Cricetulus griseus: one gene and its partners. The protein of the gene in region 1 interacts with the protein of each later gene in a pairwise test. Links are inferred from orthologs where the notes say so. Each region holds a gene or a part of one and is shown in the gene's direction. Other genes may lie near its edges.

Region 1 (4,329 bases):
ATTGACATGTGAAGCTATATAAATAAAATTTTTTTAAAAAGATATATTTTTAAGTTCTCCTTAAAACACTAAGATCTTGCTATAAGATTCTTAAAATTTTTCAAACAAGATTTACAGATAATTCAATATGATCATACATTATTTCAGAGCAAAACTACTTACTGAAAGGAGTCATAACATCTGCACCCTCTTTTGTAAGAACAGTGATTAGAGTGAGCCTTACAGAAGAGGACCTGTGTCTGAGGGCAAGCCTAGTGTTGAGTATGTTCCCCTCAACATCAGCACAAAGCCGCAAAAGGAGACAGTTTGGACAGGAGGTCTGAGGAGGATCTCTGTAACTGTACAGAGAAAACTAGTTCTGTTGAGAAAAAGTATGTAGTTAAGAAGAGGGAGGAGATGGGAGCATGAGAGGAAGATAAAGACTAACAGGGTGATGACCAGAATACTTTATGTAGATATGAAAATGTCCTAATGAAGCCGTTATTGTGATTTAATTAACTTATGCTAATTAAAAAAGAATATATAGCCGGGCGGTGGTAGCGCATGCACAAGGCGGGAAGTGCGCAGAGGCAGGACGATCTCTGTGTGTTCAAGGCCAGCCTGGTCTACAAAGCGAGTTCTAGGACAGCCAGGGCTACACAGAGAAACCCTGCTTCGAAAAACCAAAACCAAAAAGTAAACCAAACCAACCAACCAAATACATCAAGCTCTATTCACCAAAGCTAGAACCCAAAGATGTCTCCCCCGAAGCACGAGCCACCCGAAAACTGAAGGCAGAAGCACAGACTTCACTGCCATAGCTTTCTCCTGGTGCTTATGTCAGACAGGTGACCTAGGACGGACCCTGACCCAACGCCAGCACTGGCGCCAGCTTCTGCATTGCTCCAATACATTTGCGCTCGGGCGAGCACAGAAGCTCCCATCCGGGGCTCCACGCCAGCCTCGTTGTCATAGTTACCGCCAGAGCCCCGCCCCTTCCTCGCTGTCCGGCCCCGCCCCTCAGAACCCGGAAGCGGGAGGCGCGCCCCAGGGAGCTACGGGATTCAGACCTGGGAGGCGGCGGCCTCTGGCTGCTCAGCCGCGCGCCCCCTCTACCTGCTGCGCCCGCGGAGCCTCTGCTCTGCAGCCGCCCGGCCCACCCGCGCCCTGCCGCCTGCCTCCGCAGCGCCCGAACCGGGCCGAAGAGCCGTTTGGGCTGGAGAGAAAGGGACGCGGGGGTGGCCACGGCAGGTGAGGGGCAGGCCTTGGAAAGCGGAGTGAGGGTGTGTGGTGCGTGTAGGGTTGTAGGTGGGTGTGTATCGAGCATGCGTGACTAGTGAGTGTCGTCCACGGGTGGGCCGGTCCTTGTGACCATGCACGTGATCCATATCCGTGTGTGTTTGTGTCTGTGTCTAAGGCCCAGCCTCGGTTCATTGCGGATGGTCGGTGTGCCTGTGGGTCCACTATTGTGTGGCTATGGCTATAACTAGTGGGACTCAGGGAGGCCCCAATGGGGGTTGGTGCCCAAAACCTTAACCGGACATCTTCATCTTCTTGTACCACCCAACTTGGGGCTGTGCGGCAGAAGCTCAGAAGCATTTGGTTTCAGTAAACTTTTAAGGACTGCGAGTAGAGGCCAGTTCTGGAGATCCTGCCTTAGACCGGGCATGAGGCTTGTTAGAGAGTCATGAGAAACATTGCAGGGCTAGCGAGTGTCTCGTTTTTCTTTTCCCAGGAAGTTAGTTGTTAGGTGCTGATGCAGTTGCTTTGTCTCTATCTGCAATTGTCCAGCTACTCTTCGTGCAAGGATTCTAAGGATTGGGAAGTCCTCTAATACTGTCTGAATTTTTCAAAAGGCATTTACAACAGGATCTTGAGAAGAGGTGTCAGAAGATGTCATGCAGGCAGCATCTCCTGTCATGGCATTTAGAGACAAGTGGATAGGTTCCTGGAGAAAGAGGGATGAATTTTCCCTGAAGAAATCGCCCCCGAAAGATAGCTATTTAATACATATGGGTGTGCTGGGGGTGGGGTGAAGATCTGCAGTAAATAGCCAACTGTGGTTCTTTGGGTGTAGTTTAGTGGCAGAAGCTCATGCTTAGCATTCCCGAGGCCATAGGTTCAGTTCCTGGTACCGATAATCATAGTTGTGTCACCTAGAGGCTTTCAAGGTCTAATGCTTTTTTTATTGGCTGTAATAATCACAGATTATCCCTATGTAAGTCCACTATAGATTGAGATAAAGGACCAGCCATATGTGACCATGTGAGTTAACATTTGTAAAGCTGATTTCCTCAGCTGTAAAGTGCAGGTTCTGCTGAGACTCCACGTGCATGCTCACATCCAGCAACACAAAGTCCAGAAAGGACCAGGTGTCCTCAGCATCCCGGAGGAGGGGTTTCCTTAATCATGATTAAAGCTTATCTCTGGCCCTTTCCTCACCAGCCTGAACAAGTGCTTTTGTTTTTGTAAAGAACTGAATCATGAGAAATCGCATCTGTGCTGAGCTCACCGCTCACATTCTTTTTTCATCCTGACCAGTTTGGTCACAATCTCAGCTAACTTTCTGGGCCATAGACACAATGTTTCTTTTGTGACTTGGAAAAGCATCCGACCTAAGTGGATGAAAGAGAGCTAGAACAAACTTTCCTTTTCATACTGCTACAGCTGCTTTCCCTTTGCAGCTTTTTTTTTCTTCTTCTTCTTCTTCTTCATAGCCGTCAGCTGGTCACATGCAACATTTGGTAACTGTCTCGCCTTTCATTACTGCCGAACTAGCACAAGTGTTAGGCTCACTTGTCTTTACAAACGTGTACTCACAGCTGGGCAAAATCTCTTACCCATCAAGATTAGTTATAACGTGTCCTGTTGCAATACTGAGGTAGTTGTGAATTATACGGAAGGCTTTTGGTAAGGACTACCTTCTACCCATTGCTATGGGAAAGAAGTGGGTGACTCGGGGTCCTTGTGTGCCTGCCTACGTGTTTGTGCTGTGGTTTGGTTTGTGAATTGCACCTGACTCTAAAACTGTGAATAATTTCTACCGTAAATGGGTTGATTCTAGAAGTAAACTTTAACAAATTGATTGAAGTTTTTGTTTGTGTGTCTGTTTTGAAATGAGGTTTCACCTATCACTGTGTAGCCCTTGCTGGCTTGGAACTCACTATGTACACCTTGAACTCAGAGTTCTGTCTTCCTCCTGAGTGCTGGGATTAAAGGTGTGCGCTATCATCTGGTGGTTTCACATATTTTTGATATTCTCTCCTACAGAAATTGTTCTAGAAAATGTCTTTAGTTGGTGTCCTAGTGTAAAGTATTTCAGAATTAACTGCTAGTTGCTTTCATTTAAAAAAAGTAGTAGCTTAAGGGAGACAGAAGAGGTAAATTGACTATATTACATTTTGCATGAAACTATTCAAATAATAAGAATCTCTAAAAGTTGTTAAAGTTATGATATAAAAATAGTTTAAACATCTTAGATACTAAACTTGTTAATATTTAAGATAAATGGATTTTGCAAAGGATTGTGTTCTTTGTTTTAGTGTTAATGACTGAATCTGTGCACGATGGTTTCAATATAAGATTGATGGTAATTTACTTTGTGTTTTAAAACAATTTACAGTTTTAGCGGGGGCGGGGGGGCTCTGCTCTCTGTGAGTTAGAGGCCAGCCTGGTCTACAGAGTGAGTTCTCAGTTGGGGATACACAGTGAAATCCTTTCTCAAAAAAAAAAAAATTACAATTTTAACAACCCTCTCAAAATATTTCCTTTGCTTTGAGATAAGAGACCACTATCCTATCAGCATTGTAATTAGAGTTTTAATATTGGTCTGTCTACATTTACTGTCTCCTGGAAGTTCAGTGTAGTGATTCTCAAAGGTAGCAGACCAGTGTTGTGTCCCTGTAGAAAGAGGCCAGAGAATGAGGAAGGGTTCCATTAAGTTTAGAATTCTCTGCCCCTTGCCAGGCCAGAGAGCTTTTTCAAAGTCAGCCTAAACTTAAGTCCTGGACTGTCACCTCATCCCTACTAGGGACTCTAGTTCTGCCCTCAAAGCAGGGGAATGCCACGCAAGACATGTATTTGAACCTTTCCAGGTGGGCCAAGTGCTCTTGGCCATAAGAATCTGCAAGAAGGAACCTTCCCTTAGGTTCCTGTTACAGCATCGCACAGTCAGGCAAAGGATATGCAGTTCACAGCTGGGCAGTAACAGAATTAGGAGGGCTTCTCAGAGGGCCTGGTTTGGTCTCTTTAGAGCTCAGTCATCTCATAGTCAGCAGATCAGGTGGGCTGAATGCCAAACCATTCTAGGCTCTGGGGAAGCAAAGATGAAGCCCACAGAGAGGAAACAAG
Region 2 (4,329 bases), about 120 Mb from region 1:
AGAAACCTTATCTCAAAAAAAAAAAAAAAAAGAAGAAGAAGAAGGAGGAGGAAGAGGAGGAGGAGGAGGAGGAAAGAAAGAAAGAAAGAAAGAAAGAAAGAAAGAGAAAGAAAGAAAATTGTGGTGACAACATATTGTTTATAATGTGTGTGTGTGTGTGTGTGTGTGTGTGTGTGTGTGTGTGTGTGTGTTTGAGACAGGGTTTCTCTGTGGCTTTGGAGGCTATCCTAGAACTAGCTCTTGTAGACCAGGCTGGTCTCGAACTCACAGAGATCTGCCTGCCTCTGCCTCCTGAGTGCTGGAATTAAAGGCATGTGCCACCACCGCCTGGCTTGTTTATAATTTTTTAAAGCCACTGAAGATCAAAAAAGCAGTTGCCAGTCGTATTGCTTGGTATACATAGGCAGGAATATTGCCCTCACACTGAAAGGGTTGATCCTGTCTCTACCAGATCTCACCAAGCCCCAGACTGCTTGCTGCCTCTCCTCAGTGTATGGCTGGAGAATGAATGCCAGCTCCGAGACCCAGTTCTTTTCTTAAATACCTCTTATGAGTACTGGGATTAAAGGTGTGAGTTCTGTTACCCTTTTAAACTGATCTGATCTCATGTAACCCTGGGTGGCCTTGAACTCAAAGATCCATCTGCCTTTGTCTCCTGAGTGTGCCACCACTATAGATTCTCAAAGACACTTCTTCCTCTCTCTGACCCCATCTCATCTGCTCCCAGGCCTGGGACTGAGCCCTTAGAGACTTCTCACTACAGCTCTCCCAGTCTGGGGTATTCTCCTCCCCTCCCCAACCTCACCTTAAGATTCTGCTTGAAACCAGATCTTGGAGGCCTTTGGCTTTTGTTTTCGTCATAGGTTCTTACTCTGCCCCACTCTCTGGGGACTCGGGACAGCGAATAGATCTGTGCTATTGGCTAAATACGAACCTAGAGCAGAAAACTCCTAAATGCCTATCTAACAGGTCATCCAGCAGGTAAACGCCCTCAACTGCAAAGAAACCAGATAACTGTAACTTAAATTCAGAAAGGTATCTAAAGAAAAAATAATCATAACCATTGTTTCGAAGCGCAAAACATGGGGAAAACTTAATCTCTCTACTCTGCTACACGGCCTGGCTCTGGCATCCAGGTTCCTGCTACTCTTCCGATCTTGCAAGAGAAGAGGGCGACCTGCGACCCCGGAGAAATTAGTTCCCCCACGAGCCCACCTCCCGGGGTACAAACTACTCACCTGGGCAAAGGAGACCACAGAGAAAGAAAGAAGGTGGCTCTGTGAGGAAAAGGGAGGGACCTCTTGAGAAACGAAACTGAAACTTTGCAGCCCCGTCTCTGGGACAGGACGCGCCTTTGCTCTGTCCTGGCTGCACACAGTCCCTGATTCCCCCACTCGATCCAGACGAGGACTGCCATGGCTTCCAGTAACTGCCCGTCGTCCCCGCTACTGGTGCGGCTGCCGAAGTCCATCCCCTGGGCGCACAGGAAGCTAGAGAAATACTTCCAGAGCCGGGCCTCGGGTGGCGGGGAGTGCACTGTCCAGCCCGTGGGCCCCAACGCCCCCGACACCTTCGAGGTGAAGTTCCTAGAAAGGGCAGGTGAGCCGGTACAGGGGAACTGGGCTGGGATCGGGTGCAGAGGCGGACCCTGAAAGTTTCTGAACAGAACCATTCGTGCTTCCACGAGAGTGTGGCACTGCCTGTAGGAGCCGCTGCCGCCTATAACTTCCTCTATCCTGGGGGATAGAGCCTTACTTGGGCCCAGCCACCGACCAGGTTTCCTAGGGACGGTTTCCATTTGCTAGCTGAGTTGCCCAATTTCCCAGCAGACCGACTTGAGAGGAGAAAGGAAAGTGTGTGGGGGTGGGGATTGGGGCGGAAACCTAGGGCCCTGTGCTAGCTAGGCAAGTGCTGCACCACAGAGCTACTTTCCTGTTATACATACTGATTCCACTGACTTGTTTTTAAGGATTACAAAATAAAATGTGATAACTTTTAAAAAGTCAATAGAAAAATTACAATGGGAACAGTTTCATGTATTCGTTTTTGTGAAATCAGCTAATGAATATACATTTAAATCACTCTAAACTTTTGGGTTCTTGGTTTGGCAGGGGTTTCACCACTTAACTATACAGTGAATATCGTTGTATGTCATTGAAATGAGAAATTCCAGACCATTGCTATGCAGCTTTGGCTGACCTTGAACTTGTGATACCCCCACCCCCACTCCCACCCCTACCTCTGCTGTTTAAGTGCTGGGATTATGGGTAGTAAACCACTATGCCTAGAAAATTGGCTTCTAATAACCAAATGATTTTATACAGTAAAACTTGAGCTGCCTACTTTTGAGTTCTGGATAACTTTCTCCCATCAACCCTGCTATTCCAGGATAACAGGAACAACTTGCTCAGGTCCTCTGTTCTTATTGTGATAGGAAACTTTTCCTGGGAGATACAGCACACATATCCACTCGCCCCAGATAGGGATCCCGCCACAGTACAGATACAGTGTAACAGTCTAACTTGGTGAACCAAGAGTTTCATTAAGGTTACTTACAGGAATATGGGTGAAGGGTCACTTACAAAAGCAGGAATTACTCAAAGACAGTTGCATCATTAAAGCCCAGACAAGCTCACAAAGCTGGAATATGGAGCACACTGCACAGCCTGCAGGCAGCCCAACAGGTGTGAGAGTGTCCTTTCCAGGAGCCTCAGTTGGTCTAAACCTCCTCCAGGTAGCTGGGCAGGTTTTTGCTTCTTTCAGGCAGCTTGGCTTGGACAAGCATCTCCCCTGCAGAGCCACTTTTCTGCATCTTTCTTGCATCTCTATTCTGTTAAGTGTCAGAAGGACTTTGAGCAATCATTATCGATTATTCAATCGGGGAGGAGCCTACTGAATCTGGTCAGTTTCAGGGACTTCCTGAAGCTGTTTTAAGTTGTTTACCTTCTTGCTTTAGGAGCTTCCCTGCGGGATGGAATGTTTCCATCTTGAGGAAATTTACACAACAATCCCACCTCCTAGGGTTCTTCCAACTAAACAATGCAAGATTGCCTGTGTTTCCATAGTGTTTACCCTGTATGAGGGACTAAAGTCATTTTAAAAGTGTATGGAAGACCAGGTATGGTGGCACACTCCTTTAATCCCCGAACTTTGGAGGAAGAGACAAGCAGATGTCTGAGAGTTCAAAGCCAGCATGACCTATATAGTGAGTTCCAGGACAGCCAGGACTACATAGCAAAACCCTATCTCAAAAAAAAAAAAAAAAAAAAAAAAAAAAAAAAGCACATGGAAGAATATGGGTGGCTTGTATGAAAGCCTGTAAGGGATATCTGTGGATTTTAGTGTCCTCAGAAGTTCCTAGAATCAACCCAGAGAGGACACTAGGGTCGTCTGTAAATTCTCTCTCATTCCTGTGTGAATATGTGTGTTTAATGTCTCCCCTGAAGCTAAGGAGGGAGTACTGAAAAAGAGAGAGCACAAGATGTTGATTGATGACAAACCTGTGACCATTTTCCTGGAAACCATTAAAAAGCCAGTGGAGGACCTGAGACCCAGATCTCCATCTTTGACACAGTCACCAGATGAGACACCAAGCTCTAGACCTCTATCTTTGACACAGTCACCAGATGAGACTCCAAGCTCTAGACCTCTATCTTTGACACAGTCAACATCTGAGACACCAAGCTCCAGACCTCCATCTTTGACACAGTCAACATCTGAGACACCAAGCTCCAGACCTCCATCTTTGACACAGTCTCTGGATGAACCACTGTCTGATAAAGAGTCTGCTTCTAACTCTGTTGACTCTGTTGTCCAAAAGGTGAGTGTTGACAGAGGAGCCAGCACCATTGCTACAACTGCCTCTGTGGTCACCGCTTCTGTCTGTTTTGGTCTGACAGCCTTGTGCCAGGCACTAGCTATGAGCTAGGCACTGGTCTAGGCACTTGGCTACAGAGTTAAACAAACAGGGACAAGATTCCTGTCCTGGTGCAGCCTGTATAGGGGTAAGGAAGTGAGCACACCATAAACAAGTTAATGAACTGAGGATAAGGACTTCAAAGATAGAGACAAGCTAGGAGAATAAAATGGAGTATTGCCTCAGAGAGGAACAGCATGAGGGCAGGCAAGGGAAGATGGGAGACCTGCTTGCTGAGGTGACATTTAGCCTGAGGCTTAAATGATGAGAAGTCACCAGGCATTTTTTAAAAATGTGTTCGACAAATAGATAGGGACTGCTTATGATGTGCCAGGCAGGGGCTGGAGGTGCAGGCACATAGTAGACTGCTCTCAGGGCCCTTAACATCGAGTAAGGAAAACAAAGAATAGTAA
Region 3 (3,743 bases), on another chromosome or scaffold:
AATAACTTTTTGTTTTGTTTTCAAGACAGGGTTTCTCTGTGGCTTTGGAGGCTGCCCTGGAACTCGCTCTTGTAGACCAGGCTGGTCTTGAACTCACAGAGATCCACCTGCTTCTGCCTCCCGAGTGCTGGGATTAAAGGCATGTGCCACTAACACCAGGCCTGAAAAAAGAACCCTTGGCCCAAAAATGAATCCCATCCCAGAGCTGAATGAGGTCCTTGCCTGCTCTGAGGCACTTCCACCCCATGAGGGACATACAACAGACATGAGATCGAGGGTTCACCAGGAAGGAGGTGCAGGTTGCAGACTGCATTGGAGGGTTGCATGCTGCTCTTGTCTTTACAGGAGCCCTCGCCCTTCTAAGCCTGTATCTTCTGTTCGGCTACGGGGCCGCTCTACTGTGCAATGTCATCGGATTTGTATACCCCGCATATGCTTCGTGAGTGAGCAGGCAGTCCACAGGGGTGGGGAGGCTTCTGGGAGTCCCAGGGACCACCAAAGAAGATATGTGTCTTCCCATCTGGACAGAGTCAAAGCCATCGAGAGTCCAAACAAGGAAGACGACACTGTGTGGCTAACCTACTGGGTGGTGTACGCTCTGTTCGGCCTAGTCGAGTTCTTCAGCGATCTACTCCTGTTCTGGTTCCCTTTCTACTACGCGGGCAAGGTGAGCAGGCCATCTTCCCCATTGGGGAAGGGCAAAGAATTGGATCAGGGCCCTGTGTGACAGTGTGGTGTGTCCCCATGTGTGATGCAGGGCCCTGTGTGACAGTGTGGTGTGTTCCCATATGGGAGAAGGCCCTGTGTGAGGATGTGTGTCCCATGTGTGGGGCAGGGCCCTGTGTGAGGTGTAGTGTGTCCCATGTGTGGGGCAGGGTCCTGTGTGAGGTGTGGTGTGTCCCCATGTGTGGGGCAGGGTCCTGTGTGAGGTGTGGTGTGTCCCATGTGTGGGGCAGGGCCCTGTGTGAGGTGTGGGGCAGGGCCCTGTGTGACAGTGTGGTGTGTCCCATGTGTGGGACAGGGCCCTGTGTGACAGTATGGTGTGTCCCATGTGTGGGGCAGGGTCCTGTGTGAGGTGTGGTGTGTCCCCATGTGTGGGGCAGGGCCCTGTGTGAGGTGTGGGGCAGGGCCCTGTGTGACAGTGTGATGTGTCCCCATGTGTGGGGCAGGGCCCTGTGTGACAGTGTGATGTGTCCCCATGTGTGGGGCAGGGCCCTGTGTGACAGTGTGGTGTGTCCCCATGTGTGGGGCAGGGCCCTGTGTGAGGTGTGGTGTGTCCCCATGTGTTGGGCAGGGCCCTGTGTGAGGTGTGGTGTGTCCCCATGTGTGGGGCAGGGCCCTGTGTGACAGTGTGATGTGTCCCATGTGTGGGGCAGGGCCCTGTGTGACAGTGTGATGTGTCCCCATGTGTGGGGCAGGGCCCTGTGTGACAGTGTGGTGTGTCCCCATGTGTGGGGCAGGGCCCTGTGTGAGGTGTGGTGTGTCCCCATGTGTTGGGCAGGGCCCTGTGTGAGGTGTGGTGTGTCCCCATGTGTGGGGCAGGGCCCTGTGTGACAGTGTGATGTGTCCCATGTGTGGGGCAGGGCCCTGTGTGACAGTGTGATGTGTCCCCATGTGTGGGGCACGGCCCTGTGTGATGGCATGGTGTGTCCCCATACAGTGCGCCTTCCTGTTATTCTGCATGAGCCCGGGACCATGGAACGGGGCTCTAATACTGTACCATCGCGTCATACGACCACTGTTTCTAAAACACCACGTGGCCCTCGACAACGCAGTGAGCCAGCTAAGCGGAAGAGCATTGGACATAGCAGCGGGAATAACCCGGGACGGTGCGTACTAGGGGTGAATGCCCAGTGGGTGTGATCTGGATTCTGGGGGGTGTGTTTGTTTTCTCTTTGGGTAGTTTTTTGTTTGTTTTTTGAGACAGAATCTTACTATGTATACCAGGCTCGCCTGGAACTTTCAGAGATCTGCCTATCTACACCTCACAACAGTTAGGATTAAAGGTGTGTGCCATCACACATGGCTTGTTCAGTTATTTTGAGACAAAAAGAATTTCATGTATCCCAGGCTAGCCTCCAACTCACTAAGTAGCTGAGGGTCACCTTGCCTTCCTTAGTGCTGGGATGACAGGCCTGACAATGTCACCCCGCCCCAGCTGGCTCCTGGGTCTCAACTGACCCTGTCTCTGTTGTCTGTCCCCCTGCCTGGATTTGCCTGTCTGTCCATCCGCCTGCCCTGAAACACCTGACTCTTGCTACACTCCCCTGCATAGCTCTGCTATTCTCTTACTGTCCGCCTCTCTCTCTCTGGCTGTCGGGAACCAGTCCTGCAGGCCCTAGCCCGGGGCCGAGCTCTCATCACCCCAGCATCAGCAACGGAGCCCCCAACCACTCTGGAACTGAACCGTATGTAATGCCCAGGAGGGACTATGCAGGGGTTGTGTGCATTCTGTGTTTATGTTGTGTGTGGTTCTGCATCTGTGTGCGTATGTATGGTGCATACTGCAGGTATCCCTGGACAAGTGTGTGCATGCACCCACAGGGGCAGAGCGTGCTGGGTGTGTGTTCAGATGTCTGCATGGGTGACCAGCTTGCCTCTGCAACTGAGCTGGTGGCACATTCCCTCCCGCTCCCCGGCCAGTCGCGTCCACCCTCACATACCATGCCTTTCCGCTCCACAGCCAAGTCAAGCCAGACCCCGCTCCTGAAACACAATTGAAGTCTCCTGCCAGTTTGTGCTTGGAGCCTGTGCCCAGTGACAAGGAGGAGGGACACACAGCTGACGCCCAGGTCTCCTTGGACTCCTCCTCCTCGGACTCCCAGACAGAGATCCAAAACCAACGCCGAACTTCAAGCCCAACCAAGATAGTAGGAAGCCCGCCACGAGCCATGAACGGGCAGTTCTCATCCCCAGTCAGCCCAGGTTCCGATTCTGCGTCCCGGGCCCAGCTGGCCCCTGCTGCTAGCAACTCCCAGGTTCCCAACAAGATCTGGGCCCCTCGCAGCAGGGGCAGTGTGAATTCTAGGCCTACACAGCGTACCCGACTGCCCAGTACACCCTCTCAACCAGGGACCCTCTCAGCCATGCGATCTGGGGGGTCCTCCCAGCCAGTAGCCCGGTCCTCAGCACCTGCTCGGACACCAGTATGGTACCCAGGAAACAACCCACAATTCCCTCAGGCCCCAGCATCAAGCCTGGCCAGTCGATTGGCAGCAGCAGCCACCACGTCGGTACCCACCTCCATACAGCATGTCAGTAGTTCCAACCAAGGCTCACCTAGGGCCCAGTCGCCTAGCCCACCTCCTGACCCTAACCAGGCTGACAATAAGGCCCCCAGTGAGCCAGGGGATGTGGGTTCCAAGAACAACAAGCAGGGTCAGAAGACACCGGCCTCAGAGCTGGCTGGCAGCAGCACCGCGCCTGATCCCATGTCTGCCTGTCACTCTGACTCCTCTCTGGATTATATGTCTGAGTCCACGACGGAGATCACCTGTAAGTGGCCAGGCTACAATCACCAGCTGCGCTGCCCGAGACACTGCTGGCTCTTACAACACCTGGCATATTAGGGACATGAGTGCACACCTGCCCACGGGAGCCACATGAAACGCTAGACCACTCAAGCACCATATGAGTCATGTCAGACACCCGTCCTTGAGAGCCACAAAAAACAACTACCCACCCTAGGAACAAAGTCAAATACCTGCCATGGTCCCCCACACGTAAAACCTGCCCATGGATCC

What was found.
Region 2: the proteins of Spg21 (region 1) and Dtx3l interact in binary tests that used the Homo sapiens proteins (3 or more experiments, as listed by UniProt). The two-hybrid records come from large-scale screens. The link is inferred for Cricetulus griseus from reciprocal best matches to the Homo sapiens genes SPG21 and DTX3L.
Region 3: the proteins of Spg21 (region 1) and Reep6 interact in binary tests that used the Homo sapiens proteins (3 or more experiments, as listed by UniProt). The two-hybrid records come from large-scale screens. The link is inferred for Cricetulus griseus from reciprocal best matches to the Homo sapiens genes SPG21 and REEP6.

Annotation. Positions count from the first base shown.
Region 1 is NC_048597.1:177,058,606-177,062,934, forward strand, and holds the start of Spg21 (maspardin), read left to right. Parts: upstream 1-1,011; 5' UTR 1,012-1,230; intron 1,231-4,329. UniProt on the Homo sapiens protein: May play a role as a negative regulatory factor in CD4-dependent T-cell activation.
Region 2 is NC_048597.1:53,734,262-53,738,590, forward strand, and holds the start of Dtx3l (E3 ubiquitin-protein ligase DTX3L), read left to right. Parts: upstream 1-1,385; 5' UTR 1,386-1,415; coding exon 1,416-1,599; intron 1,600-3,446; coding exon 3,447-3,820; intron 3,821-4,329.
Region 3 is NC_048598.1:101,129,453-101,133,195, forward strand, and holds the end of Reep6 (receptor expression-enhancing protein 6), read left to right. Parts: intron 1-345; coding exon 346-439; intron 440-528; coding exon 529-667; intron 668-1,660; coding exon 1,661-1,829; intron 1,830-2,327; coding exon 2,328-2,408; intron 2,409-2,683; coding exon 2,684-2,721; 3' UTR 2,722-2,861; downstream 2,862-3,743. UniProt on the Homo sapiens protein: Required for correct function and survival of retinal photoreceptors. Required for retinal development.